4 linked regions of the Schizosaccharomyces pombe genome follow. Changing the gene in region 4 together with the main gene of any one other region gives a genetic interaction. Each region holds a gene or a part of one and is shown on either strand. Other genes may lie near its edges. The genes, in order: ent3, pep7, rer1 and aut12.

What was found.
Region 1: mutations in aut12 (region 4) and ent3 together harm fitness more than expected from each alone (negative genetic interaction), as found in Schizosaccharomyces pombe (one large-scale study listed by BioGRID).
Region 2: mutations in aut12 (region 4) and pep7 together harm fitness more than expected from each alone (negative genetic interaction), as found in Schizosaccharomyces pombe (one large-scale study listed by BioGRID).
Region 3: mutations in aut12 (region 4) and rer1 together harm fitness more than expected from each alone (negative genetic interaction), as found in Schizosaccharomyces pombe (one large-scale study listed by BioGRID).

What each region holds. Positions count from the first base shown.
Region 1 is NC_003421.2:272,170-279,426, reverse strand, and holds ent3 (ENTH/VHS domain-containing protein Ent3), read left to right. Parts: upstream 1-4,678; 5' UTR 4,679-4,829; coding exon 4,830-6,260; 3' UTR 6,261-6,757; downstream 6,758-7,257. Other genes in the region: SPOM_SPCC794.15 (uncharacterized protein), read right to left, coding at 218-400, 444-521; malate dehydrogenase Mae2, read left to right, coding at 2,216-3,913; ugp1 (UTP-glucose-1-phosphate uridylyltransferase), read right to left, coding at 6,962-7,257.
Region 2 is NC_003424.3:3,597,801-3,606,828, reverse strand, and holds pep7 (FYVE tethering component Pep7), read right to left. Parts: upstream 5,113-9,028; 5' UTR 4,951-5,112; coding exon 3,340-4,950; 3' UTR 2,925-3,339; downstream 1-2,924. Other genes in the region: SWI/SNF and RSC complex subunit Ssr1, read right to left, coding at 1-1,031; translocation subcomplex subunit Sec62, read right to left, coding at 1,916-2,737; SNARE protein Use1, read left to right, coding at 5,974-6,642; rps2401 (40S ribosomal protein eS24), read right to left, coding at 7,253-7,588, 7,658-7,726; bro1 (vacuolar protein-sorting protein), read left to right, coding at 8,030-9,028. UniProt on the Schizosaccharomyces pombe protein: Required for vacuole segregation and vacuole protein sorting. Possibly part of a complex which tethers the vacuole membrane to microtubules, either directly or via kinesin or dynein-like motor proteins.
Region 3 is NC_003424.3:5,022,946-5,030,993, forward strand, and holds rer1 (Rer1 family protein), read right to left. Parts: upstream 4,506-8,048; 5' UTR 4,463-4,505; coding exon 4,403-4,462; intron 4,350-4,402; coding exon 3,855-4,349; 3' UTR 3,198-3,854; downstream 1-3,197. Other genes in the region: SPOM_SPAC22E12.02 (splicing factor, WW domain -binding Rbm42), read left to right, coding at 1-132; glyoxylase III Sdj1, read right to left, coding at 134-230, 329-807; superoxide dismutase Cu chaperone Ccs1, read left to right, coding at 1,991-1,999, 2,052-2,178, 2,334-3,091; alpha-1,2-galactosyltransferase Gmh3, read right to left, coding at 6,055-7,053.
Region 4 is NC_003424.3:641,345-647,347, forward strand, and holds aut12 (autophagy associated protein Aut12), read right to left. Parts: upstream 2,195-6,003; 5' UTR 2,169-2,194; coding exon 874-2,168; intron 788-873; coding exon 541-787; 3' UTR 501-540; downstream 1-500. Other genes in the region: grh1 (GRASP family protein), read right to left, coding at 1-57, 104-283; chaperonin-containing T-complex beta subunit Cct2, read left to right, coding at 3,367-3,369, 3,406-3,537, 3,585-5,033; erd101 (EXS domain-containing protein), read right to left, coding at 5,249-6,003.

The sequences.
Region 1 (7,257 bases), on a different chromosome or scaffold from region 4:
TTGGATTGTATATCTGTCTATCACAAATACTTTCAAGCTTCAACTAGATTGTTTGAAAGAACACTAATGTCGTTCAAGAGGTCGTTTAACGAAATTAAAAAGAAAAAAAATAAAGGCTCATTAAATTAAAAAAATTCGAGCGATAAAATAAAAAAAAACTAAAAATGCCGCCAACAATTCCTACAAACGTTTTTTGCAATCACCTTGAAAAAAATCTTCAAATCTCAGTTGTTCGTTTACGTTTTCGCTGTTCAGCTTCTGGTTTGATTTTTTTGGCGAATGAGAAAAGCCTAGGTTTTGAAGATATAACAATTGTTTCAGAAGGTTCGTGTCGAGGAAATGAAACAAAAGGTGGCTTTTTCGTTTTTTGCCAAACAACAGGTATTGGAGTATTCTGATTCTACCAAGGTATTAGCAAAGTACAAATGCAATGCCTAGCTTACCAAGTCCACTTCTTTTATCACTGGTGATGAGTTTTGCTGTTGGTTAGTTGTTGGTAACAGCAAACGCGATGTTGACATTGTAAGCCTCAATCTATGTGGCTGCTTTCAAGCGCGTCAAAGGTAGTTTTGAAGTTTCTCGTAAAGAAATGCAACGCATCGATAAGAGTGTCTGAGAACAGCATGTTCTACACTCGGTAAATTTCGATAACGATACGATAGAGTTGTGCTAAACCAAGTTAATGTGATGGAGAGCATATACGATAAGAAATGAGGTGGCAGGATACATAAATAATGTAAGAAAAGAAAGTCTGAAGCAATATACGGAAAAGAAATTCATCCATAGAATGTTCAGTAAAAACAAATAACATTTAAACTAATGTCTTCGTATCGTACCTTGATTTTTTAAATTCGGGATTAAACGATGGTCTATTGAAGAAGTCATCGCATTTTAAAGATCACGCAGCGTTATGTGGTTTTTTAATTCAGAGCCAAAAAAACAACAAAAAGAAGAAATACAGCGATTTCTTTTAAAACTCAATAAATCTGGTTCCTGATTATCATTAATGTTGATACTGATTTAATCCAGATGGGTAACTAAAGCAAAACCCTCGTTCATGTTAGTTGTCTTAAATAAAAAAAATAAAAATAAAATCCAACTTTATCTTAACTAGTCTTAGTTTCATTAGTATGAAGCCATTAAAACATTTTGAGACATTTTATTTACCCTGTCTATTTCACTAACTTATATGAAAGATTTGTTCCAAACTTCATCGAAAACACCACTAGAGTGTTTGCGCGTGTTTTCATTAACAGATGAGAATAGAAACAGTCGCAAACTAAATTTCGCGTAGTAAATTCCTCTTATTCAAAAAGCATCAACTTATTGTTTAGAACTGCATTAATAAACAATTATCCAAGTTAACACAAAGCTAAAGCTATATATTGTTCTATGAAGGTATTTATTTACTTGAACAAGCAACCCTCAATAAGCATTTTGCCCTAACCAAAAAAAAAATACACTAGCTCACCAGGAAAAGAGTGATTCTCAACTTGTTAGATTAGTAATTTAATCGCTAGCAAACAACTTATGTTTTCTATTTGGGTAAATGCATTTTACTAATCAAGTGCATTAACGAAAACCTGTTTTTCATAAACAAAATGACATAGTGCAGCTATTTCTTATTACTATATATATATCAACATCCTTAATCAACCTTCTTGAAGGGGGGACTATTAGACTTCTCATTTTACCAAGCCCAACAAAAGATGAAAGAATCGGCTGTTCATCCGAGTTAGCATGCAAGGTGTATTAGTATGTTAAATAAAATCCTCTTGTTAATGTGTAATCTCTTCGAAACTTGACAATCGATTTTGCATTGGCATTGTTGTAAAGATTGTTCTCGGCTGTCCATGTCCCCTGGCAACACCCGAAGTTATCTGTTTCAAAATGTAAGAAAATCCTTTTACGTTATTAGTTGATTGGACTCGAGTCCCTAATGTATAGGAAAATCGGTGGCGAGAAGGGGGATCATTCATTTAAAGTGACAACTACTGCTATAACCGAACGTAAAAATTGCGAGGTCGACTGGGCTAATCGTGACGTTTGGTGGTTGACACGCACAATTTATTGCACTATACTATCAGCACGTGGACCGTCTTACCGGAACAACTGACGAAAAAATAGTTATTTAAAAGTAGGGCTATACCCATTTGAAAAGGACAGTAATTCTGATATTTTGGATTTTTGATCTACACATACTTGAAGTTTGAAAATGCCTGCAGGAACCAAAGAACAAATCGAGTGTCCTTTAAAAGGAGTAACTTTGTTAAACTCTCCTCGCTACAATAAGGACACTGCTTTTACACCTGAGGAGCGTCAAAAATTTGAGATTTCATCACGTCTTCCCCCCATTGTTGAAACTTTGCAACAACAAGTGGATCGCTGTTATGACCAGTACAAAGCAATCGGTGATGAGCCCTTACAGAAGAATTTGTATCTTTCTCAATTAAGCGTCACCAACCAAACTCTGTTTTACGCACTCATCAGCCAACATTTGATCGAAATGATTCCTATCATCTATACACCTACCGAAGGCGATGCCATCAAGCAGTTTTCCGATATATATCGTTATCCTGAGGGTTGTTATTTGGATATTGATCATAACGATTTGTCTTATATCAAGCAACAGCTTTCCGAGTTTGGAAAATCCGATAGTGTCGAATACATTATCATTACCGATTCTGAAGGTATTTTGGGTATCGGCGATCAAGGTGTTGGTGGTGTCTTAATTTCAGTTGCCAAGGGACATTTAATGACTTTATGCGCGGGTTTAGACCCTAATCGATTCTTGCCCATTGTTCTCGATGTTGGCACCAACAATGAAACCCATCGTAAAAATCATCAATACATGGGTTTGAGAAAGGATCGTGTTCGTGGTGAACAGTATGACAGCTTTTTGGACAATGTTATAAAGGCCATTCGTGAAGTCTTTCCTGAGGCCTTTATTCATTTTGAGGATTTTGGTCTTGCCAACGCCAAGCGCATTTTAGACCACTATCGTCCTGACATTGCCTGCTTTAACGATGATATCCAGGGAACCGGTGCCGTAGCATTGGCCGCCATTATTGGCGCCCTTCACGTTACGAAATCTCCCTTAACCGAGCAGCGCATCATGATCTTTGGTGCAGGTACTGCTGGTGTTGGTATCGCCAACCAAATTGTTGCCGGTATGGTGACAGATGGCCTTTCATTAGATAAGGCTAGAGGTAATCTTTTCATGATTGATCGTTGCGGTTTGCTTTTGGAGAGACATGCTAAGATTGCTACTGATGGACAAAAGCCATTTTTGAAGAAGGACTCTGACTTTAAGGAAGTCCCTTCTGGAGACATTAATTTAGAGAGTGCTATTGCACTCGTCAAGCCCACCATTCTTTTGGGATGTTCCGGTCAACCGGGTAAATTTACAGAGAAAGCCATTCGTGAAATGAGCAAGCACGTCGAGCGCCCCATCATTTTCCCAATCTCTAATCCCACTACTCTTATGGAAGCGAAGCCCGATCAAATTGACAAATGGTCAGATGGAAAGGCTTTGATAGCCACTGGTTCCCCACTTCCTCCTCTCAATCGCAATGGTAAAAAATACGTGATTTCCCAATGCAACAATGCCCTCCTTTACCCTGCTCTTGGTGTTGCATGTGTGTTATCCCGTTGCAAGTTATTGAGTGATGGTATGCTGAAAGCAGCTTCCGATGCTTTGGCCACTGTTCCCAGATCTTTATTTGCTGCTGATGAAGCCCTCTTGCCAGATTTGAACAATGCTCGCGAAATTTCTCGTCACATTGTTTTTGCAGTCTTGAAGCAAGCTGTTTCTGAGGGAATGAGCACTGTGGATTTACCCAAAGATGATGCTAAATTGAAGGAATGGATTATTGAACGTGAATGGAATCCCGAATACAAGCCTTTTGTATAAAGCCTTTTATTTTATTTTTTTTTGAAACCTGCTTTTTGGTCTGCTTGTATTTAAAGATATTCATGTAAATAATTTTTTGAAAGATGAATTTACAATAAGTTGCTAAAAAGAAAATTCCCGTTTTATTCAAATGCTCATATTTGAATATTAGAAACATTATGTACATATTTAGGCATCTTCCATTAAGAATGATTAATGCGTAGAAAGATAATCAATTATTATTGCTTTTTTCTCCTATTGTTATTCATCAACTATATACATTAAAAAGATTGGAGTATAGCAGAGGTAGAATTTCTTTACTCTGAAAAGTAAATCGAAATAAATGGTATATGATTCAGTCTGAAATAAATTGAGCACGAGTATTCAAACCGTAAACCGTTATGTATTGAATGAACCATTTGATTTAATAAAGGTTATAATTTTACGAATTTATAATGGGTAGTTATATAGAAACACCAAGTTAACTTTATAATCAGATTAATCTGAATAATAAATTAAAAAGGGAAAGAGAAATCTGTATATGGATGAAACAAACAAATAGTAAATCGCATTTGACACCTACAAAATGTGTGTGAATATATACATACAAGGAGGGCCTGTAAATAGAACTTTGTATTCCCAAGGGATTTAGTGAACACCCTTAAAATCGTTATTACTAAATTTCGTAGATCAATAAAAAAAAATTCTCTCAGTAAAGCAGAATAAAGATATATGATGCAGTTTCTTGATAAAGTAAAAAGGAGCCGCGGCTAGACTGAGAAATCTGATTTCCCCATCCACCGACAACAATACTTCCATACTCGTTGCCTACGCGTTCTTTGAGAAGCGAAAACTTCTTTAAAAAAGTTTCATTTAAACAATTGGATATAAATTCCTTTAGGAACTAGAAATCCAAGAAAGTAAAACATTATCTAAGATGGAGTCCATTCAATCGACGATGAAGAACATCAACCTTTACGATATCAAGGCGGCGGTTCGTAAAGCACAAAATGTTGTAATGAATTATACATCTATGGAAGCCAGAGTTCGTGAAGCAACGAATAATGAACCCTGGGGCGCTAGTACTTCTTTGATGATGGAAATTGCCCAAGGAACTCACAACTACTCTCAGTTAAACGAAATTTTACCAATGATCTACCGTCGGTTTACCGAAAAAACTGCAGAAGAATGGCGTCAAATTTACAAAGCACTTCAGCTTCTGGAGTTTTTGGTCAAGAACGGGTCTGAAAGAGTGGTAGATGATGCTCGAGCACATCAAGCAACTATTAAAATGCTTCGTAATTTTCACTACATCGACCATCGTCAAAAGGACCAAGGGCTTAATGTTCGAACTCGAGCTAAAGAGCTGGTGGAATTACTAAACGATAGCGAACGTATCCGTAAGGAACGCAAGAGAGCGCGTCAAAATCGTGGTAAATTTATAGGTGTTGGTAGTGATGGAGATTCTAGGATTTCCACTAGCTCTAAATCTAGGTTTCCTAGCTTTGGCTCTTCCCGTGGTTCTTATAGAACTCGCGTTTACGGAGACGGTGGCGGCTTTACCGATTATGGTAATGGATACCATGATTCATCTTCTATGAGTGATTCCCGTGATGCATCCGATAACGATGTAGAGGAGTACAATGAAGATGGAGATGGTGGTTCCAGCGATGCTGCAACCGCAAACTCCACGCGTGGCTCACGTCGCACTACTACCAAACAATCTGACAAAGCTCCCGAGCAGCCAAAACAGGAATCTGCAATGATCGATTTATTGGGTCTTGACAATGAGCCTTCTCCTGCCCAACCACAAACAAATACTTCTGCTCCTTTGGCGTTCGAAGATGATGGCTTCGGTGACTTCCAAAGTTCTGCCGCTGCCCCAGCTTCTTCCACCTTAAACAATGCCTCTCTCTTTATGGGCTCTCAAACTGCTTCAACTGCTGCTAAAAATGACGATGATGCTTTTGATGATTTTCAAAGCGCTCCCTCCGCCAAACCCGCTTCAAATACTGCTGCCTTTTCGTCAATTTCGTTCGGTGGCTTTAATAGTTTAAATCAACTTCCCACATCATCCAGTGCCTTTACACCTCAACCTACTACCTTTAATACGGGTTATACATCTGCGTTTGGTATGTCATCCGGATTGTCTAATACCTCTTCACAAGCCGGTCTCGGATTAACCTCACAACAACCTACTGCTGCCAAATCTTCTGGATCTAATGGTGATGCTTTTGGTAGTCTGTGGTCCTCTGCCGTAAACAAAGTTCATCAAGAAAACTCAACTAGGGAAAGAGTTGTTTCGTCTTCTAGCGAACCGGTTTCTAAAACCCAAAACTTCCTAGACAACGACAATCTCCTATTGTAATAATTGTTTTTTATATTCCTAGTTTGTCTTTTTTAATACTTCCTATTAGCATGTGTTTGCTATGGAATTTAAGTAGTCGTTTCCTATCTCATTTAAACTATCTCCAGCCCTTGATCGTTAGCAACAAGGTCTTAATACCTTCTTTTGCTTCATTTTTTAATACCTTTGTTTATTGTCCTTATATTTCTCTATACATCGTCTGCTTTACGATTTTGTTTACAGTTGGTGAAGCTAGAATGAATTTTGGAAATGTTATTCACGTCGGTAGAATGACCTTCATTGCAATTTTGCATTTTCCTATAATGGGAATGCAATTGGTGGCCTTATAAGGATGGAGATTGATTAATTTATTTAGTTTGATATATTAGAGGTATTTCTTATCTAAACAGCGTCGAGCCTCGAGTCCTTTACTCATTCGCCTTAGTTCAGTAAAATAATCTTACAAATCCTTAACATGAGAAATAAAATTGAAACTATAATTGTTTATTAAAGAGAGTAAAGTAATTTCGAATCGCTAGATGTCCTCAGAAGAAAATGGTACTGAAAGAGTAGTGTAAGCGACGAGTTCGATTATGGTCATAAAGTTATGTCCCAAAATGGGTATGAGTTAAAATAAACATCGTGATGCGCATATGAAAATTCATTATGTAGAAATTATGAAGAAAAAAGAGAAAAGAAAGATTTCGGTTTTTTTGTGAAGCTCAACACTCCATTATTTTACAATTTCCTGTCACAACACAATTTTCTAAAACTGCATTGGAAGGGATGCAAAGGATGGTATTTTCCGAAGCAACAATCACGATGTTTCCTTTTAATATCACGTTTCTTCCGAAATATACATTTCCAGAAATGGATAGAGAAACTAGGTCTTTCATGCTAGGCATGTAAGGAATACGGCAAAAAAGTTCTGCGATATCTTTAAATTCATTAGACATGCGAACGACTGGAGGGGGAAAACCGAGCCTTGATTCTTCAATTTTTAAGGAACCATGATCAA
Region 2 (9,028 bases), 3.0 Mb from region 4:
ATTTTAAATAAAGCTTTGTCGGAAGAAGGAAGATTAAGGAATTTCAAAATACACTCTTCAACACTTTTTGTGTTCACATGAGAAGCAACCTTTGCCCAGTCGTCACTATACATTTCCACTCCCTCTGACAAAAGAACAAGTTCTTGTGCAGTCCATGTATCATCATCTTCAATTTTATTTTGTATTGCGACCTCCTTATAATCAGCAATTGTGGTCGGTGAAGGAAACCGATTTTGTTGGTAGCAACTTATACAAACGTTATATTTTTGGGCCGTTTGAGATTGGTAGTAACTTTCATTAAATTTATTACCGCAACAGTAACAATGCTGTGGAGAATCTGACTGATCAATGTTGTTTTCATGAAGGTTCGAAAGGCTTGGTTTTTGATTCGGAGTTGAACCCTTACCTTTTAAGACATCGTCGAGAGAGGGATCATAAATATTTGTTCGGACAATCGAAGGATCTTCAATGGTAACAGCTTTGGAACGAGGAATTGAAGAAGAGGGAGGTGGAAGAAGTGGTACCAATCCACGAGGAGTATCAGCAAGGATTTGGAAATGACTTGTGGAAGGGGGACCTATTTTCGAAGGCCGAGTATCGGGGTTAACGTTATAGTTGATTAATCCCCATTGCTCTAGAAATCTATGGACACGCAAGACAGCACATACATCACCAGCCAAATTCCTTCGGCAAGCCGTGAAAGTCAAATAAACTTTGGAGTTCAATCGAAAAGTACTAATCATAAAATCTCGGTATTCCTTATATACCTCTGGTGTTTTCGACGTATTTTTTCCATCAAAGAACTCAGGGTTTTGTTTTTTCTCAATTTCGTGAACTTTAGAGAAATCAAACCATTGCGCCCACTCAGGGACTTCTACTTGTGGTAACTGGCTCAACAAAAATTCTTTGGCCTCGTCTCTGACTTCTGGTTCAGTGTCCTCCTTTTTAGAAACATCCAATTCCATTGGCTGAGCAGAATCTGGTACCCCGTTTTCGTGTAAGTCATGTTTATTTTCAGTAACGTTGGACATTGTGGTGTTAGAGTCTAGTATAATATTTACAAAATCCTCAACGCCAAGGGCTTTAAAAGCTTCACGTCAATAAAATGCACTTAATCAACGAAAAATAATATGTATTACCCTATATGATTGAGGGATACCTTGAAAATTCAAGTTTTTTTAAAATGCCCTGCAATTAGTAGGTAGTGGGAGTTGACTTAGAATGACGATGTCTGGTTAACGAAATATACAGCAAACGCACTATACACTAAAGAATTGAGAAAATATTCAATATGGAAAGTAAAATTTATTGATATGAAGTTAAATATCATATGATATGATGACAATTTATACCATGAATATTAGTGAACTTGTAATTATAATCACTCCTATGTGATCAGCCAACTATAGTAAGAATGCACTCCTTGTGTCATGAGGAAATGCTATACTAGCTTTAAAAGGAGAAAAGCAAGCTAAGAATCTAGTAATTTCGCTCAAATGTGTTATAAATTGAGATTAAAAGAATAAGGGAATTATCAAACCACCTACCAGGAGTGGTACATAAATTAAAACGCTTCATATAAATGGGTTAAGCAAGAATTGTGTGTCAATAAGAGTAAATATTCATTGACTGACAAACTTGCCGTAATTAAAATGCGTAACAATAAGAAACACAAAAGAATTTAGTGTCCTCATTTAGTATATACTGATTATATATGTATACGTTTGGGCATAAAATGAGAACGCCAAGGTTTCTTGGAAAACACATTTAGAATCTCAAAGAACCTTTCTCCGAAAACATAGACGAAATAAATTGTATAAGGAGAATTGATAACGTAAAGATATGCACTATTTTTTTTTAAAGTAAGTAATAGTGGCTGAGTGACTGGATTCATCAACGGTACAACAATTAATTTTTATTCAGAGACTTCTTCGACGGTAGGATTTCTGTGCCTTAAATTCTTTAAAGAAGTGGTGGACGTAGAAGACTTTTCAGGAGTTGCAGAAGCAGCTGGTGAAGTGGCTTTTTTTGACAATTTCTTGGATTTCCTTGTCTTCTTTACCTCAGATTTGGAATTGTGCCAACTCCATAAAGGTTTAAAGCTATCACAGAAGCCAACGTCGGCAAGAAGATTGGGGAATAGCCAAATGCCAGGGCGCACGATGACAGCAGTAATGCAAAATAAGAAAAAACGTAAAATAACCAAAACAAAGAATAGACCGATTACTCCAAGGCCTCCCATACTTAAATACCAAGCACCCTTGCGCATAAACATTGGCCACAAGGGGAACAAAACGAGTGCCAATACGACAAGAGCGAACAGTACTGCCAAAGCCATAACGCGTTTTGGAAGAGGCTCGTAGAGCCAAACATAATGCATATCGTCTTGAAAATCTTGATTACGATTTATCTGTAATTCTACAAGCTTCTGCTTTCTTTGTTTAGGGGGGAGTTTATCAACGCGAACCAGCATCGAATTCATAATGAGCAATTTGAGAACTTCGATTGCTTCCTCACGGCTTGAAATTTCTGGAAACCCTTTGTATTTCTTAGGCGTATACGCTTCGGATGTTAAAAAGCGAAGAACACGCTTCACACGAAAGTAGTATACACGTTTTCCATTGAGGATCGCTGGCTTTGTTTTCAGCTCAGGGCGAGACTTGAGGAAGTTTGTAAAGCGCATCGAAAACTTGCACTTGTCTTCATCCTTCAAAACTGGTACATTAGAAGAATCCATAGGCAAAATCCTTGTTTGGAAAAATCTAAAATAATGTGGTTCTGGAGTAGATGAAGTCTGTACACGTCTTTAAGGTAACGATATTTAGGTCACGAGGTAAAGCCAAAATCAAAATTCAGTATTATAGATTTGGGAAAATCTATATTATAAATTTTACATTTAGTTTAATCATTGTTATTATCATGCTGTCGAATATTGATTCATTCTTTAAGTAAATTTGTAAAGTTGGATAGTTCAAAAAGTTAATTCAGTCTTAAATTTTTGTGCCTGTGCCCCATATTCATAACTTAATTATACTATAACACTTGAAAAAAATATTTGATTATTAGGGAGAGTAAAGCACTGATTAAGGAATACTAATCTTCAGAAGTTAACTCTAAAAAAGATGCTCTTCCTATTCAACTTAATTGATAACATTCATTGCTGTTCGACGAGGAAAGCAAAGTCTTCAAATTCATTTCATCAATAAATATTTATCTATACAATTATTCACTCATCCATCATATGACTAACCTTCGCAACACATTAACTAGGAAATTTTGATTACATAAAAGTGAAACAGCATCATTAAACAAGTCAAATTTCCTTTATTGAAAAAATCCTCAAATATCAAAAAGATCCAAGTCATGAATCTTTTCAGTGATTGAATGAATTTCCTCATGCAAAGGTGCAAGACTGGAGAGTAAAGTCTCTACCTCAGAAAACTTTCGTTTCGCTTTAGCATCTTCAATCATATTTTCAACGAGGAAAACTTGCTCCTCTAAAACTATTCTTGTTTGCATCAACTCTTCTTGCTTCTTTTCAACTTGCTCTTTCTTCTTTTCTAGCTCACGTTCAGACTCAGAAGTCCAAGCTTGGCCAACCTGCAAATGGTAAGGAATGGCCTGCAAACGCAATATGGTTTCTTGTAAATATCTTTTTGCTTCATTAACAACATTCTGCTTAAATTGTTCTTCAGCATCATTGGATGAGGGATGATTGGCGATTTTTTTCATAGTTCCATCATATTTCACACATAGCTCAAGAAATTTTTTTCGTCTATCTTTTACTATTTTCAGGGTCGCTTCAGTGATTATTTCACCACTTAGTAATTCAGACAAAGAATCCTCGTAAAGTCGATAGTAATTTACCATAGCCTGTCTAAAAACTTGCAAGTGTTCAATATGTCGGATGTAGCCAAGTGATTTCGATCTTTCCGTTTGATAAAGAACGTTACGGAAATAATTTTGATTGCAACTCATACAGATGAGGAGAGGTTGCGGGTGTTGAGGAAGACTAATCTCTAATACACAGAATCTGCAGATCACGCGTCCGCAAAGCCGACAATGCCGGCGTCTTCTAGTTAGAGTAAAAGAATTGTTGCATTCAGGACAAATTTGTACAACGGAATCATCTTGCCAATGAACGATGCTTTGCTCCAGCCTTTTAGCCTTGTTCAAAAGAAGCGCATCAAGCATCGAGACATTTTCCGATGTCCATAGCTCTTCAAGTTTTTTCATACGTTTGCTTAATCTTAAAAACTCTATTCTTCTTTTATCAGCTAAAGGTTTTCGAAAAGTTTCGAATGTTTGAAAACGTGAGCGAATTAAACCATTTGAATCATTATACCCAGGACGTCCTTCATAACATTCTCGACAAACACGACACCAAAATCCATTTTCAGAGTCGTAGGTAGCATGAATACTGAGTTTGATCTGGTACATTGAGTGAAAGTTGCAGAAGATATAACCGCATTTACGACAATGAATATGACCATTGATGAAATTTAAAAGCTTATCACACATCGGGTCATGGCAGACCATGTCAGGAACCTCTGGTTGCCAGTGATTTTTGACAACCAAGGAATCTGTGAGCTTAGTTGCTTCAAGGCCGACAGCACCTGATGAATCCCCATTCTGTTCATATGGTTCCATTCTCCAAAGACGTTGAGCGGCTTTCATTTGCAGAGCTGAAGCACCATTTAAAGTCCTTGTTAGCCATGAATTAATGGAATCTTGTCGCTTGTGGATTTTTTCATTATCATTGAAATGAGTAACATCGAGATGATCATTTAATGCTGACAAATTTGGTAATTCCAGCCCACAAATTGGGCATTCAGTGGCTTTAACGATATTTGAAGAATCACTTTGAGCACTAGTAGAAAGATTAGTCCCGGAATGATTGCTCAAATTGGAAGAAATTCGGACTCCAATACGTCTTTTACCATTTTGCATAGTAATCCCTCTGAACTTGATTTTTAGACGAGAATTTCAGGCAATTGAAGCCTTTTCAGTGGCTATATAATTAAAAGTAGCTAAAGTTTATAAATTATTATTACACAGAGCTTGCTCTTGCAAAGGTGCTGAATTCGCCTGACGGTAAGAATTATCACTGTTAGAAGAGTAGACAACTGGTTAACCTGGTGGAATGCTAAACACAGAATAAACAAACATTAGAAATTTAATAAATTAAGTTGTTTAAAATAAAATTATGAGAGATTCTAAAGAAATCACAAATCCTCTGATCAAATAATTAAAGAGTTAGACTGCAATTTTGTTTAATTTTCAATTCAGGAAAACATCCGGTCTGAATAAATTGAAATAACGACAAATGGAGTTACAAGGTATGTAGTCTTTAGCAGTGCTTATTTAAATAAGAAGAAAGATCGCTTTATCAAAAATCTAACACGAAGGCAGCCTGGTCGTCTTTGCGTACTATAAGTGTTATTTCAAAATTTGCCAATGCAATGGCAAGGAATGCAACTCAAGATCCTTGCGTTTTTAAAGATTCTGTCAAGTTTATTTACAACATATATCCTCCATGACTTGAAATATATAGTAAGGTAAATACGCTAATGTTTATTGACACCTTTAAGTTAAGGCATTACGGTTCATGCAATTCTTTTAACATAAGGATTATTAAGCTTCTCATACTTCATTAGATTGAGATTAAAATAGCATTTTATAGTCAAGGCACTTGGTACAAAAATACGTATTCAAAGAGAAATACGGTTTTAATTAAATGTTAGTACATCCTTATAAATGAATAATATATAAAATACTATAATCGTCTACTCTGAAACCCAAAATACTCATACAAGGTGAAAATTAGTATGTGTATAAGATGACATGCACCTGATAACCTACTCAACTCAAACTACTTATAAAATATCAGGAACCCCAGTTTAAAGCGCTTTACATAACTTTCTTTATAGGAGAGAGATATTCTTATGAAATGCTCACTCCATAGGCTTTAAAATGAGTAAAGATTTGATCAGTAGGTTGGAGCGACAATTCAAGTTGAAACGTGATGAGTTTCAAGACCCATTGGAACTTTTAAAATTTGAAAAGAATCTTGATTATGCAAGGAAATTATTATGGGAAGAAGGAAAATGCCAACTTGACAAAGTTGCTGAACCTCAAGGGCTTTCGAAGAGAATCATGGATTTACAGGGTAGGATTTATGATTTAAATGTTACCATGGAAAAAAAGCTGAAAATTGAAGAGAAAAAGATAAAAAGTAAACAAGAGAAGGAGATCGCGCATGCTCTTCAGAGTATTCAAGAAAGGGAGCTTAGAGAGCGACAACAGATGTCGAATGTCGAAGCTTCCAATGCCCAATTGCTCACAAACCAGCGTTCAATGCAAACTGAGATATCTGAGTCACTTTTGCATTTGGCATCTGTTCTAAAAGAAAACGCTTTATCTTTCACAAATGCTCTAGTAACTGATAATCAAGTGGTAGAGCGTACAGGAAGCTTACTCGACAAGAATGCCCACAGTCTGAGACATGCCAACCACGGTGTTCAAAGCTACTCTAAGTCAAAAAGGCTGTCTTTTTGGCTACAGTTAGGAATGATCATTGCTGTAGTTGTTTCTTTTATCGTGATGATCTTTATCCTACAGTTTACCAAAAATCAAAATTAATTATTTTATTTTCGTAAAGAATTCTCGGACTGCTTCCTTTTGTTGATAAATTTTTTTCCCCTTAAGTTATCGCAGTGGTAACAGTACACCCGTTTCTTTTTAATATACATTTTGATACACAACCATTATTGTTGTTTCAAGTTGTTTTCTTACTCGAACGTATTCATGTTTTTTTTGTATTTGAGATCAATGCGTAGATGATATAAGTAAATTGAATAACCAAAGCATACGCAATTTACCATTGTTTTATTTCATTTAACCTTTTTCCAACAGCTGAGTCAATATTAGCCCATTCCTTTATCAATTGACACTGCCCTCAACTCTTATGTTTTTAGTAAATAAGAAACAACATCATTACATTACAAAACTATTAAACTATCATAAAATACAACATATACCGCATGTTCAAAAATTATTATATTAGAGATCAAACTCTAGTTATTGAAGATTATTTACTTCATTCACTACTGTTCACACGAAAGCTGAACAATATTATTTTAGGCAACACGTAATTAAATCCGTTCGAATACAACAATGCATTTCCATCAAGTGAATACATCTCATTACTTTATGAAAATTATTTTTCTGAACCAAGAAAAAATAAGATTGCCTAGTCTTGTTGCTTAGACTTGCGCTTGGCAAGACGCTTGCCAGTACCAAAGACCTTCTTGCCTCTGTTCTTACGTTGCTTGCGTTGTTGACGAGCAACCTTTTGGATAGGCTCGGCATGTCCAACACGGACAAGACGATAATGGGGCTCAAACTTCTTCATGGCCTCGACGTCGTCGTAAATCAATGCAAAACCAGTGGTTCTTCCACCACCATAATGGGTACGAAGACCAAATGCCTGGACAGCACTTGCATCAGTCTTGTACATTTGACCCAATTTTTCACGAAGATCGTTTTTGGAAATGTTGGCCTTGCCAGGATGCAAAATGTCGACCACCTAAAACGCCCTCATGTTAGTATATGCCACGTCTGATCGTAAAGAACTTATAAGCAAAAAAATACATACCATTTGCTTCCTCTGAAGCAAGCGGTTGGTCATAAACTTGCGAGTTCTGATTGTAACCGCCTCACTCATATTGGTCTTAATACAACTATCTAGCGCCCACGAATTCCAAAATTTTACCCCAAAGAAGGCAGTCACAAGATGTGGTACAAAGAAAGAATAGTGAATACTTGAGTAACTACACAAACAACGGTATATTGCTTTAAGGAGATCAAAGGGACTTGTAAATATAATAGAAAATTATGTAGGTATTCCTTCACTTGTCTTAACGAGGATTAGTGCATCGTTGGCTTGACTGAATTTAGTCAATTAAGTCAGCTTGTCGAGTGCATAGAACTATAGGGGCATTGGCTCTTTTATAAGGAATTTTAAAGGATGGAGAAACTTGCTACTCCTTTTTTTTACTTAAATAAAAAGGAAACAAAGCATTCAGATTGGGTTGAGCCATTTACTACGTTCGTATCTCGAATATATGGAAATAGTGTTGATGTCGAAGATCAAATTAAGGCGTTCAACACTTTGAGAGAAAACGCAGCAGACGTCGATGACACAGTTGCTGGTAAGGATATTTTGTATTCTTATTACGGACAACTTGACTATTTGTCTTTCCGATTTCCCACTGGTGGTAATGGAATCAACATTTCTTTTGAGTGGAGCGATATCTTAGATCCCGATGCAGATTTCGTCAAGCAATCTTCTCTTGCCTTTGAAAAAGCATCGGTTTTATTCAATTTGGTTTCATTGCTTTCCCGAATGGCTGCTAATCATGCATCTGCTTACACTGTGGATGATTATAAGGCGGCCGCCAATTGTTTACAATGCGCTAGCGGTATTGCCAAACTCTTACGCGAATCTTTCATTCATGCACCTGGAAGAGATTTAGATTCCAATTTTTTACTAGGTATTTACAATCTTTTCTTGGGTCAAGCACAGGAGTGTGTCTTGGGACATATGTCTTTTTCAGCTAGTGACTCTAACATGAACTATTCGTTGGCTGCAAAGATTGCTAGTTCGGCAGCTACTTTATATGATAGCTGTGTACACGCATTTGAATCTATGGAACCGGCGTGCAATCCCAATTTCATACGGCTTGCTTCTGCCAAAAAGGCCGCCCTTGAGGGATTTTCCTCTTATTTTATGGCACGCGCTCAGTTGGAAAAATCGAAACAAGGGCTTGCTATTGGATATTTACAACAAGCTAAGTCAATTCTTTCGTCTGCTCAAAAGTTATTCAATGGTATAAAGTTGAGTACTGATTTTATTCATAAGCCTAGTCTTTCTGACTATCCTCAGACCATTTCTACCTTCATCAAATCCTCCTTGTCTCATTTGTTAAAAACTGCTGAGAAAGATAATGACTTTGTGTTTCATGAT
Region 3 (8,048 bases), 4.4 Mb from region 4:
AATTCCACATCAGTCCCAAACGCCGTTAATACAGAAATCAGTGCCGCCCGTGCTACCGAGTCCGAGGCTTCTAGAAATCAAACCAAAGCATCTCGAGACTATTCAAGGGCGAGTTCGTTTCGTCGTGTGTAGTCTAGGGCATACTAAGAGATTTATAGACAGCATTATACTTGTCCTTGCTTGCAACCTGCTCCAATAATTTTAAACCAAAAAGCATTGCAGTACCGGGTCTAATGAAAGAACATGTTAGCATATAGGTTAATGAAGAAATAAAAAAAAACAGAAACGAATCAGCTTGTTGGACTTCGTTTTGTCTTATGCAACTTACCCTTGAGATGTGATAAGATTCTCTTCAAGGACGACAGGTTGGTCAAGGTACTTGTAGCCACCTTCCTCTAGTTGACCACGAACAGAAGGATGACCAGTAATCTGTTTATTTGGAAGACCTGATGTCTTGGCTGTAAGGGTACCGGCACAAATCATTCCAATCCATTTATTAGGCTTCTTGTAAAATTCTTTAACCACTTGTTGAACAAAAGGAGTTGTAGAAAGTGTTTTTGCCCCGAGTCCACCACCAGGAATGATAGCAATATCGTATTGCTTTGCAAAGTCATCTGCACTGGGGATTTCCTTGTATGAACGATTTGCATACATTTCCACGTCACGAGACATCTTCACAAGTCGGTCCTTATTCTCTCCAACGTAGACGCTGTCAATGGGAATTTCTGCTCTCTTAAAAATTCCCCAAGGTGCCGAAAACTCAATTTCATCAGTGCCGTCCGCAACAAATAGGCAAACCTTTACCATTTTCAAATTTTTTTAAGACACTAGCAGGGTTCAAAAATTTAGTACAAAACCAAGTAAAACTCGTTGTCAAAGAAATTTCTCGCTTCACAAGTGTTTGGTAGTTGGAAAGTAATAGGTTGACGTATGATTCCATATATATAGGCATGGAAAGGCATAATTCTGGAAAACGGGCGATATACAAAGCGGTTGGGACTCCGAATGAACCCATTTCCTTTCATTCAGTTCCATAGTTTAAAAACCCCATATTCTCTAATGGCCATGAAACGTTCGCTAGTTGGCAGATTTTCGAGTATAAACAAAAAAGATTGGTTGAAGAATTTCGGCAACAGTTTACTTTAATTAATTCATTTTAAATAACTATAAATTTTATTCTAGTATGGACGAATATCAATTGCATGGATTCTATATAAGATGTTTCACAGTACTGGTAGTAATGTAATATACTAAGTCTTTGAAAGGCAAATAGATCAAACCGGAGCAAATATATAATCTCGATTGAAGTGAAAAAATTAATACTAAAATAATAATAGATGAATGAAAAAAAAAATTGCCAACAGAATTCGATTCTTTGTTTGAAAAGAAATCGAGAATACTCAATTCATGTATATATACGAATCACTAAAATTGTGAGAGTACTGTAATCACTAAACAGAACGTTCAAATTCTCCATAATATAAGAAAAATAATACTTAGAATTTAGATATTCCTACATCTCTCTATCGCCCATAGCATTTATTTTATTTTTTTAAATCAAACGAAGGAGTTGTACACTAACAATTACAGCTAAATGGTCTTTAAAAAATTAATGAAAAATAAATAATAATACAATCTCTATGTTCATTTATAAACCAACAGAAAGAAAAGCCATTTAACTCGCTTGGAATAAAAAACAAATCTTCCAAAAAAATTTAAAAAAATAAATAATAATAAATAGAAAAATCCAACATTCATTGTCATTTCTAATAAAATCAATGATATTCTTTAAAAATTGACGTTCATATTTTGCATTTTTCAATTCAATATACCATTAACTTTCCTTCTGACTAATCTTCATACTGAGTTTGCCTTCCATTCTAAAGTAAATCTCACCACCTTACGCAGTTCCGTAGAAGTTGCCATTTGCCAACATCAATAATATCATATTAAAGGCTTATTTTGCTTTCGGCTTCTTTTTGTTTTCAACATGTTTGAAGTATGGCATTTGTTTGAAAATTTGGTTCAAAGAGTGCTAATAAAATTTTTAGGTTGAATATCTCATTAAGGATTGTGACGACGTAAATAAGAATACCCTCGAGCAGGAATTCCAAGATTTAAACATTGAAGATTGGAAATGGGATGCTGCAACTGGTCAATTAATTGTGAAGGGTTCTGGTAAGTGATAAAACCAATAAGAAATGAGGAAGAAAAGAGAGATTTGTGAGTTCATCCTGCTTTACATTAGTTCATAAAATTGAAAGTAAATTGTTTGACTTCCTCTTTTACTTCCTATTTTTCTCATTTTACTCTTAGCTAACGTAGATTTTCAGTCTCTCCTTCAAAAGTCCTTCGGCGCTTGGAAAATGCCACTTCGAAGCCCATTCTCATTCGTGGTGCTAGTAACAAAGAATCGGGCGTTTCCATTCTTTATGAAGCCAATGAAGATATAACCCAGATTCCCAAAGTTTACGGACTTTGCCGTTTTATTCCCACCGAGGAGAAAATTTTCCTCGATTTGATTGCTACTCAACTCCTACCAAATAGAGAGTATACAGGATTAGTCACTATCTCAGGAGACATTTCCCGTGGACTCAAATCCGCTGGCGATAGCCTTGTTACCCTTTTTAATGCAAACTCCAATGAGCAAGGAAAAATTGTTCTCGACAAAGAGGTTTCTGGATCCTTACCAAATTGGATTGGTCACTGTTTCGTTCTTAAATGTGTCGACGATTCTGATTCCGCCACTATGGGAATTATTTCCCGTAGCGCTGGTTTGGGTCAAAATACCAAGCAAATTTGTGCTTGTACAGGCAAAAGTTTATGGACAGAGCATGCCGAGTTGAAATCCGTCAACGAGGGTTCTTCATGCTGTTCCAAGAAGGATTCTAGTCCATCAGAAAAACCTTCTTGCTGCTCTCAAGAAAAGAAAAGCTGTTGTTCATCGAAAAAACCTTCGTGCTGTTCTCAAGAAAAAAAAGGTTGCTGTTCAACAGAAAAAACCTCCTGCTGCTCTCAAGAAAAGAAAAGCTGTTGCACATCAGAAAAACCCTCGTGCTGTTCTAACGGAAAATCGACTGTCTGTGCTTAAGACGATACCATACAATTACTAACTTTATCATGTACGTAAATGTTTACTACAGTAGCCATGCTGTCAAATTTGACAAACACCTTTTAAATTTTGGTTTGCAGTTTATTAAAACTCCTTAGCTGTAAAGAATTTCATGTCATTTTGTTGCTTCAATGAATTTATTTTTGTACCTGCATGCTAATTATTATCCATATACAACTGTTCGTGAAGAAGCGAGTAAGCTTTTCGAAAGAGATACATGTCTTTCAAATTAGCCCACTTCCAGCGCTTCTGGATACAAGAATAAGCCGAGTATTCTGTAACTTGTTCGTTAATCAACTTCATCAAAGACCCAACTCCAATAAGAAAGATTTTTTTTTAATCATCACCGCATGACAATCCACATACATGTTAACAGAAATAATCGCCAATTTCTTTTAGCCTGATACAGATATCTAACATCTTGAATATGCATGAAAGATAGCTGTACACCCAGAGAACCGATGGATTACAAAGCATCGAAATTAGCATCATTATCGATGAAATTGCAGGTTACTGGGTTCAAAGAAAAAAGTAGTTTTATCGCGTAAAAAGAACATAGGGCTGGAAAAATTATTCCTTACATGTTTAAAAGTAAGAGTGGGCGATATAAAAACATAAAAAACAAATGTTTGTAAGAGAACGACTGAGGAGTATCCGATTAATATAATCAACTGAATGTGATCATATCTTTCTAAGAAAAAAACAATTTCGCGATCATGGTCATCATCAGCTCAAACACTACCTAGTGTGAGCCAAATTTTTTCTTACCGATATCAAATGGAACGTAACGATACTTGAGCATGTGCTGAATTTGTCGTCGAAAGCAGAAAAAAGAAAGTACAAGATAATAGACAACAAGAATAGGCCAAAACACAGGTACATCAAATATTCGGAAAAAGGACGCGACTAAGGCGAACAAGGTGGCACGCATGCTTGAATACCAAAACTTGAATTCTGGCAATCTACGAATAAAGGGTCGAAATTCATCGTCTTTGGAAGTAGGAAGAACTCCTTCTTCAATTTCTTCATCTTTCATTGCTTGCTCAACACTAGGATCGAATTTTGGAGTCAAGAACGCAAGGAACAGATTGAGCAGGTAAATGGCTAATGTATAGCAAACAATATACCAACCGCGAACCAGTAGAATCCTAATAAAAAATAATGCAATTAATCCACTAACAGTCAGCCATCTATACGTTGTATAAGGTATGGTTCGGTCCACCCAGTGTCGATACAACTAAAAACACGTTAGATTTTCTTCTTTTCTCAAGCTAATCAAGTTATTCTTACTCGAACTGCAAAGTTTTTCTTCTCTTTAACATTTTCTATATGACGCTGAATGAATTCCATGCTTAAATACTGTCAAACAGACGATAAAATGGTGGTTGGTAGTGAAGTGAAATATGTATTCAATTCAGACATATACGCGCTACTGCCAGACTCCATTTACCCCCTACACTAGAATACAGTATACATTATAATGTGTTATCGGTGAATGATATTATTAGTTTAAAGTAATATAACGATAAAGTAATAATTTGTCTCTACAGGACTCGAGAGCGGTAAGCGTGTAAAGAAAAGATTCAGTGATAATTTGGCAGTCAGAATTACTTTTTTTTTGAATAGATTAGTATAGTTACACCACGGTTACGTTTACCAATTTGAAGTTCCTAAATATGATCAACTCATTAACCGATTAGAAATTTAATGCATATACTTACCAATACGTTAAACTGTATACAGCTCACCTTCGACTTCATTAATTTTGCAGAAAAATGGCATGTCGATTTGGGTGTTTATGAAGAATTCATAGTAGTAAACGAGTCGTCAATTTGTTGGAAAAGTCAAGAGTAAAGATAATAATCTGAAGAATTTGTCTGGGTACTCTTTAACATTTACAACATGACACTTCTTCTTTCGATGCAAGCTTTTATAAAAAGGTTCATTAAGCAAATGTAGCGGAAATAACAACTAATGATCATTGAGTATAGCCGGTGCTGGACATCTCTAATAAAGCGATGTCAACTTCTATTTGAAATTAACGGCAAAGCTCTTTTCAAACCAGCCATGAATTTTGCAGTTATCATCAACCCTAACAGCATTATAATTTACACAAATGTAATATAATGCTTGTTTATTTTATTTCGAGGTTCATAAAGTCAGATAACGTATGCTTTTTCAATTCATGACAATCCTGCACAGCAAAATAATGTGACAAATCTACATTGAATAGCTTTAATAAAAGGAAAAAGAAATTAATGAATTCAGTCTATAAAAGTAAACCAGATCGACATTTATACGCAGATTAGATTGAAGACAAAGGCAAGGAAGAAATGTATAGAAAAAGACAAGATTGCAAGCATTGCCAACTTCCTAAACAAAAAAAAATACAAATATCAAACTTAGGATCAAGCGATATAACTTTACCTACCCAAATATCCACAGCTTTTTAGGAGTAATATCGATTATGTTTCACACAGGTAGCATAGATTCAATAATAATTGAAAAAAAGCCAAAGATTAAGTGCAATAAAACAAATATAATAAAAGATTGGTGGTTTCAGCCTTAAGCTTATGAATTAAACACAATTAATATTTGTCTGGGGCCTGCAAAACCACCTATAATATAAGTGTCACAATTAGTTTATATAGCAATGTATATTAGAAAAATTAAAGAAGGAATTAGATGATTATCCACCACCTCTGTAACAGAACACCGCATATAAAATAAACACATTCTTCCATTGAAAACAACCGTAACTAGCACGGTTAAGGAGGCAGACTATGCTTAGATAATATATACACATACATAGAGCATAATTGTATAGGTAATTATGTAAAAGGAGTGGCATCCAGTGGCTTGTGTATAATAAAAATAAAGACAAGATGAGGGGAAATAACCAAATGCATTAATAATGGTAATACTATTATTATTAATGCACATCAATGAACCCTCTCACGATATTCATCCCACAAAACCTGACAACGGTTCTCCACCCAACACCCAGCAAAATGTATAACCAAATGACCTTCTTTCCAGCCCATTTCCGGCTGGCCAACAGGGTAAGAATTAATAAGGGTTTGAGGTAAAATTCCTATTATAGCAGCAATTTCCGGGTGATATCTAACAAAATATCCCAAAAGGGCCTGTTCATGATCCGCAACCTTATTTTCTCTAAAGGATTTATCGCCCCATAAGTCCAAAAACAGAGCCATCATGGGCGACCTTCTAACAAAGAAACTTCCCGCGTTTAAGCCATTCAAATCTTGAGAAATCAATAGCCCTAAAGAACGAGCACTGTCAACAGTATAGGAACTTGGGGTGAGACGTTCGAGATCAGCACTAAATGGAGATATCATAGGTTCATTCTTCATTAACTTTTCCACTAAAACGTCAGGTGACAAAATATGTTCTTGAATAGAGAGTTCTGTGTTCAAAATTAACGCATCTTGGTCCAACCACCAAATCCATTTCGCATGAGGATGCTTATTCATTGTTTGTATAATAGCGGGCATTTTGGCCCACACTGGAGGAATGTTCATTTGGCTTACATTAACATATTCAAAGCCATAGTTGTGATGCTTTGCGTAGTTAATTCGGTTTTCTATGCATTGATTAAATGTTTCAGGTGCCATATTGCCACTTGAACGTCCATCACTCGCTAAGAGGATTACTATTTCATGGGATTTGGGCTCTTGAGGATCATCCTCGTTAATTGTCGCTTGATGATACGTCGTGCTAAGGCCTTGCATATCTTCATCCAGAGGTACTAAGTAGTCGTATTCTTGTACACTTGGTTTGGAAAATACATCTTGTAAACGTTCTAAAGCAGGTGAAGCAGAAAAAGAGTTTCCAAATTGGAAGTAAATGAGAAAAGAGCTAATCCCAATGATTAACAACACGAATATAACACGAGATAACTTCCACTGTAGGACTGCCATTTTAAAGATTAGCAGATGTTAAATGCAAATTAATAAAAAAATAAAAAATAAAATTTAGTCTTTTAGAGACAAGAGAAACTCTTTTTCAAGTTTCACAAATATAAACTGAGATTGGATAAAAGCAAAACAATAAGATACCAAGAATGGATCAGAAATTATGAATGAAATGGGAAACTTTCTACTCTTTCTCGGTAGAAAATTAGAAAGCCGTTTTAAAAATTAAAATGAGATTTGTGATATTCCAAAGAATACTACGTTTGAAACACGAATCTTCGCCCGTTGACTCAAGAAACGAGAGAAAACAGTAAAAAGAAATTGAAAATATAATGTAAATTATAATAAAAAAATATGAATGAATTAGATTCTTTAAAAAATGATTAACCAGATGGACCTGGAATTAAAGGCAGTGTGTAGTGGAAGGATTGAAATTACCGCATCATGGAGTCAATCATCATAAATTTACGGTTTCCTCTACTTATCGTATCCTATTTATAATAAAAGAAGAAAAAGAAGAAAAATCTGTATGGTAATGATTTATGTTCAAAATAATGAGTTGTTCCTTTAAAATCACGTTTCCAAACTTTTAATGACATGATTCACAGTACTTAAACATTTTAACCAGTTTTATACGTTGGGACAAATAACAGGAATGGCTTAATTCAGCAATACGTCTAAATCAATGTCATGATTGAATGGGAAAATAATCAAACGATTCAAATTGTTGAAACAGGTAAAGCAGATCAAGTACTGGAATGCGGACTGAAGTCCAATTCGAGAATGGTTACAACTATGAAATGAGAATTAATTTACTGAAAAGAATACAGTATCAATGGAATAGCTTTCCTGATAATGTGAAAGCTGTTTAAAGAGTATTCTATGTGTCTAGAGTGCAGACTCGTGGATTTTCACAGTAATGAATAAGAAATGTTAAACTAAAAATATCAATTGTTGTTATTATCTTGATTTTTCATATATCTGTTAAACTCCCGCTTTCC
Region 4 (6,003 bases):
AGTTACTTCGGGGGAAGAATCACGAAGCAAAGCCATAAACATTGAAGGGTCTCCATTCTGTGAAAAACACTTTAGTAATGATAAAACTATAATCAGTTCATACCAGTAAGATCCCATTCACTGCCGTTATAAAATCGTAATAAGACTCAATTCTGGCATTATAGGCTTTCGAATCGTTTTCAACCTTTAATACTCTGAAACCACATGATTCATCTGATTCTCGATGAATACCAGCTAAAGCTTCTGATTTTTCTTTAATAAAGTTCTTTAAACCACCAAACATTTCGATTGTTTAGTACTTAAATAGGGTTGGTGGTGATTTAGGTAATGGCGCGGTTGACTCGCTATGATATTAAGTTCATACAGTCGGAAATTTATGTGAGTAAAATGATGCTGATATTAATAAATTAAAACAAAAAAAGGAAAAAGAAAAATTAATAAAGCTGTTGGAAGCAATCACCGCTCTTTTAAATATTTTACTGTCAAAACATCATAAAAAATAAAAAGAAATGAATTTCATTAAACTTTACATGCTCATTATCAAAACGAAAGGTTTGTTTGTATAAATAATCGATTCTCCTCCCTTCGTATCCATCTCAAAATCTTATTAACATTTGCAATAAGCAGTTGACTGCTAGTGGTAGCGTTAGCAATACAATGAAAGTCGAACGATGCAGTTGACCACGTGAATAGAAGCAAAGATTCATGGACAGTCATATTAATTGAGAAAGAATTTTTTTTGTGAAATGCCTGGTCGTGTAAGCTAGCATAAATAGCATAAAGAGTTCTAAAAACATAGTTAGCAAAGCAAATGAGCCCAAAGATAGCGATCGTATTGAAATTGTAAAGAAAAATAGATCATTGTATACGTACCTAGTATTGAAATTGGGAGTTGAAAATGAATAGCCAGGAGTATAAAACTGTGAGTATTTCTTTGAATAAAACAAGTAATGTGAAATACAAGGAGATCCGGGATTCCTTGGCGTAGTTCTATCCATTTCTTCACAATAAATGAGCTTTTTCAACCATCCATGATCCTGAATTTCCTGAGCAACTTTGCATTTCACTGATTGCATTTCAAAAAAGACACCACTTTCGCTGCTCCCCATTATCAAGACAGTGTCCTTACATAGGAAATAGCTATAAATGTAAATATAAGCATCTGGATTTAGAGTAGGAAAACAAACAGGCACCCAATGCTCCATTGAATCATTAAAAGACTGTGTGCGGAAGAGTGATAGGAAAAGTAAATAGAGATCATTAGCATGTAATAAAAGCTTCTTCGCCTTAACCATACAAACAAGCCGACCTCGTATAGCTATAAAAGTAAACAGCAGAGATTTGGGTGTTTCTCTCAACAGCAGTTGCGACAGCTGATCACGAAAAGAGGAACGTAAAGGAAGAGGAGATATGGCATTCAATGTGGGGACTAATTCATAATCATTAAGTTGATCACATAGTTCTTTTAGGAACTGCTCGTTGCTTCCAATAAGTCTTCTCAAATCAAAATTTGGGCGGGAGTTTAAGGTCAGCTGCATAGCTTTCGCAGTAACCCCAGTAAGTATTTGGCAATATAAGAGGTTTAACTCACTGAGTAAATATGCTGCGCTTAAAGTTGTCGATGGCGATACGCCAACAAGATAAAGAGGATTTTTGGAGAGAACAACGATAACATTGGAAAAGGTAGAAAAGCTTGTTAGCTCTTCTTTCGACACTTCGAAAGAGCTAATAATTGCTTGTAACGCGCCAACGGTTGATGGCTCAATTGAATCATCAACAATGTTACTAAACACGGGCTTCCCTGATGAAGAGAATATCAAATATGTGCGCTTTTGTTTTGCCAAATCAAAAGATATCAACGAAAGTAGTTTTATAATTTCATCAACAGCCGTATTGTTACTACTGCTCGATACTGAAGTGCTTACATTAAGCGGAGAGGAATTATCATGCAATATATCAGAAAGTAATTGTTCAACGTTTTCCACGTGGCTTCGCAATTCTGGTGTAGACCTGCTTACTTCTTGATCATCCTCTGACACCGAAGGCGCTGCCATTAGAACATTACCAGGGTTTAACAGCAGTGATCCACATTCCGACTCATGAGATCTATGAACGTTATCATTTTCCACTTCCTCCTTGATTGATGAATGCTCAGATGTTGGTTCCATCAACTGGCTGTTTTCATTAGTGGGATGGATTGAATAAGGAGGACTGTAGCTGTTGTAATAATGCTAACCTCGCTTCATTCACTCATTTACGGTTAAAATTAAGGGAAAAGAAGGCGTTTTAAATATTTTGCTTTTTATTGAATAAAAAATAATTATTGATTCTTTAAATAAATGTTGAAACTCAACTTTGCGGTGCAATCATAAAGATATTGTGCCGAAGATGATTTCGTACCTAGTTGTATAGGTAATTCAAAAGGGAAGATTGGAATGGCTGAGTCTTCGGCAAAGAATTTCATATTACAACTAAATGGCATTCAAGATACGTTTACATGGAAGTCAATTGTATACAGAGAACAGTACTGAATTTAAAATAAAACTAATAATTACACGTTCTATGAAATGTACGCGCTCTAAACTAAGAATACTCTTTGGTTAAGAAATTAATGTTAAAAAGCGCTTAGAATATAGCGCTAGATGTATTACTACAAACTGTTTATATTGAGTTATTTAGGAGTGATCACTGATCTATCGTTTCAACTAAAATGCTGCTTATCCTTGACTTCTCAAGGTCTAAGGATGGTATTCACATTTAAAGATCTAGAAACTTGTTGGCTAACTTTTCGAGATGGTTCCATCTAATATTGAATAGAATTGAGATTTGCGCATTGGTTCTTTCAATATCTATATTGCTCCAAAACAAAAACATTAGTCTAGTACTTGTAAGAAAACACAAGTCATACAGGGAATCGAAAATAAAAAATCAGTTGAAATCTTTAATCGACGCTTCATATTTCATTTTGAGCAATAATAAAACACTCGATTAAGCCAACCATCATCTAGTTTGTTGAACATGCTCAGTAGTCGGTATTAACTTCATAGAGACTTGAATAGATATAGGAAATCTTTTAATTTTTTGATATTTTATATTTGAGAGTAATAGAATAGTGTTTTATATAGCAATGCTTAAAAGCTGTCTCATTATTTTCTTTTGCATGAATATGAACGTAAGAGAATGAAATATATATATTATAAAAATATTTGATTATAATATTATTTACGATCCAAAACTAGAAATATACAGTCGCTGGTACATGCCTGGTAAGCTACGGCTTACGTTGTTGCGACGAGCTTCTTGTTCGCTGTAAGCTACTTTCCACTCAACCACCGCAACTCTGGGTTTATCGTACACTATCTGGAAATGGTAATATCATGTGTAAAAACCGTACTAACGATATAGTCTTTAAATCCTCATCAGATTTTTAACGAAAGTGGCATCCAAGAGCGGGGTGAAAATGCCCGTCTTTCATCGTTTGTGGGTGCAATTGCTGTGGGCGATTTGGTAAAAAGCACTTTAGGTCCTAAGGGAATGGTAAGGTCAAATCTACATAGAAAAAATTTTTAATTAACGATTTATAGGACAAAATTTTACAATCAAACTCTTCGGGTGATATTGTTGTGACAAATGACGGTGCTACCATTCTTAAGTCTATAGCTTTGGATAATGCAGCTGCTAAAGTTTTAGTGAATATCTCAAAAGTCCAAGATGATGAAGTTGGCGACGGTACTACCAGTGTGTGTGTCTTCGCTGCTGAACTTCTTCGTCAAGCAGAAATTATGGTCAATGCAAAAATACATCCTCAAGTGATTATCGATGGTTATCGTATTGCTACTAAAACTGCTATCGATGCTCTTCGTGCTTCCTCTATTGATAATTCTAGTGATCCTGCTAAATTTCGTAGTGACCTCGAGAATATTGCCAGAACTACTCTGTCTTCCAAAATCTTATCTCAGAATAAAAACCATTTTGCTCAGCTGGCTGTTGATGCAGTGCTTCGCTTGAAAGGTAGCACGAACTTGGATAACATTCAAATTATTAAGATCCTTGGTGGTAAACTTGATGACTCCTTCCTTGATGAGGGATTTATTCTCAATAAAACTATTGGTGTTAACTGTCCCAAAGTTATGGAAAATGCTAACATTTTAATTGCTAATACGGCTATGGATACGGATAAAGTGAAAGTTTTTGGTGCTAGGGTTCGTGTAGACACAACTGGCAAGCTTGCCGAACTTGAACGCGCTGAGCGCGAGAAAATGAAGGCTAAAGTTGAAAAAATCAAAAGTCATAATATTAATTGCTTCATTAACCGTCAACTCATTTACAATTGGCCAGAGCAGCTGTTCGCTGACGCTGGTATTATGTCCATTGAACATGCAGACTTCGATGGAATTGAGCGGCTGTCTTTGGTCACTGGTGGTGAAATTGCTTCAACTTTTGACCATCCTGAACTTGTCAAATTAGGTCACTGTAAGAAAATTGAGGAGATCATTATCGGTGAAGATAAAATGATCAAGTTTTCTGGCGTTGAAGCCGGAGAAGCCTGCACCATTGTTTTACGTGGTGCCACTCATCAGTTACTGGATGAATCTGAACGAGCCATTCATGATGCATTAGCTGTTCTTTCCCAAACAGTCGCTGAATCTCGAGTCACTTTAGGAGGAGGTTGTGCTGAAATGCTAATGGCCAAGGCAGTGGAAGAAGCTGCTACCCATGAGCCTGGTAAGAAGGCAGTTGCTGTTTCTGCTTTTGCAAAAGCATTATCACAATTACCAACTATATTGGCTGATAATGCTGGCTTTGACTCTAGTGAGCTAGTAGCTCAGTTAAAGGCAGCTCATTATGATGGCAACGATACAATGGGTCTTGATATGGATGAAGGAGAGATTGCTGATATGAGAGCCAAGGGTATACTCGAGGCATTGAAATTAAAACAAGCTGTAGTTTCAAGTGGATCTGAAGGTGCTCAACTTTTGTTACGCGTTGATACTATATTAAAGGCTGCACCAAGACCCCGTGAACGAATGTAATGGGCATAGTGGTTAACAACTATTTTTTTCAAATAAAAGGACATTCTTACTAGTACTTAAAAAGATTAGAAATAAAAGGAGGCGATTACATTGTTAGTGTGACCAAAATTTAATTAAGGAATGTAAATGTATCGAGAAATTTGGCTTGTTCCTTCTTGCAAACTTGAGTTGACTTGTAATAAATGATTAAAAAGAAAAAGTTTACCTCGTAGTGACTATGAGGAGATAGCATCTAAATGGAAAAATAGCCAAAGAAATCTTCGCAAGATCTCAAGCATTTCGAAAGAAAATATCCCCATTTCATACTCATGGAATTGATGCAACCGGGGATGAAGTTTCATACTCCAAGTAACTCGTAAAATAAAATTAATAAAGCACCCAATAGCGTAAATAAACATAGGGAACCTTTTATGATTAATGCTTTTGTGAAAAGGAAATCGGATTCTCCAGTCAATGAAGACGTCCCATAAGAATGTATAAGCAGAGCTCAGGAGAGCCGAAAGAATCCATAACCAAAATAAATAACCGTGTCCAGATGTCAACGTAAATTTAGTTTGCTTTGCATGAATGATAGCAGAAAGATATATTACCGGAAGAGCTGTTGCATGTTTTAAAGCGCTTAGCAGGTTAATTTTGAATGTATGTTTTCTACGAGATAACCCGTAATGTAAGCATTGAAGTATTGCAACAATGAAAGGATAGGCCATTGCTAGAGGAACAAAAAAAGTGCCATCGCATTTTAGATCAGGTCTAAGTGTAAATTTACTAATATGACCCTGTAAGACACAACCAAAAATGTAAAAATCACCAAGTGCTTTAGCATATGATGTGAATATTTCAGAAACAATGAAATCTTTATAAGGGGAACGAAAATCTGCTTGAAAAAACAAAAATACGCGAATTATGCTTTTCCTCAACCCACGTTGAGAAGACCGGTAGCGCCATGGAAAGGGAAAAACTATTAAAATAA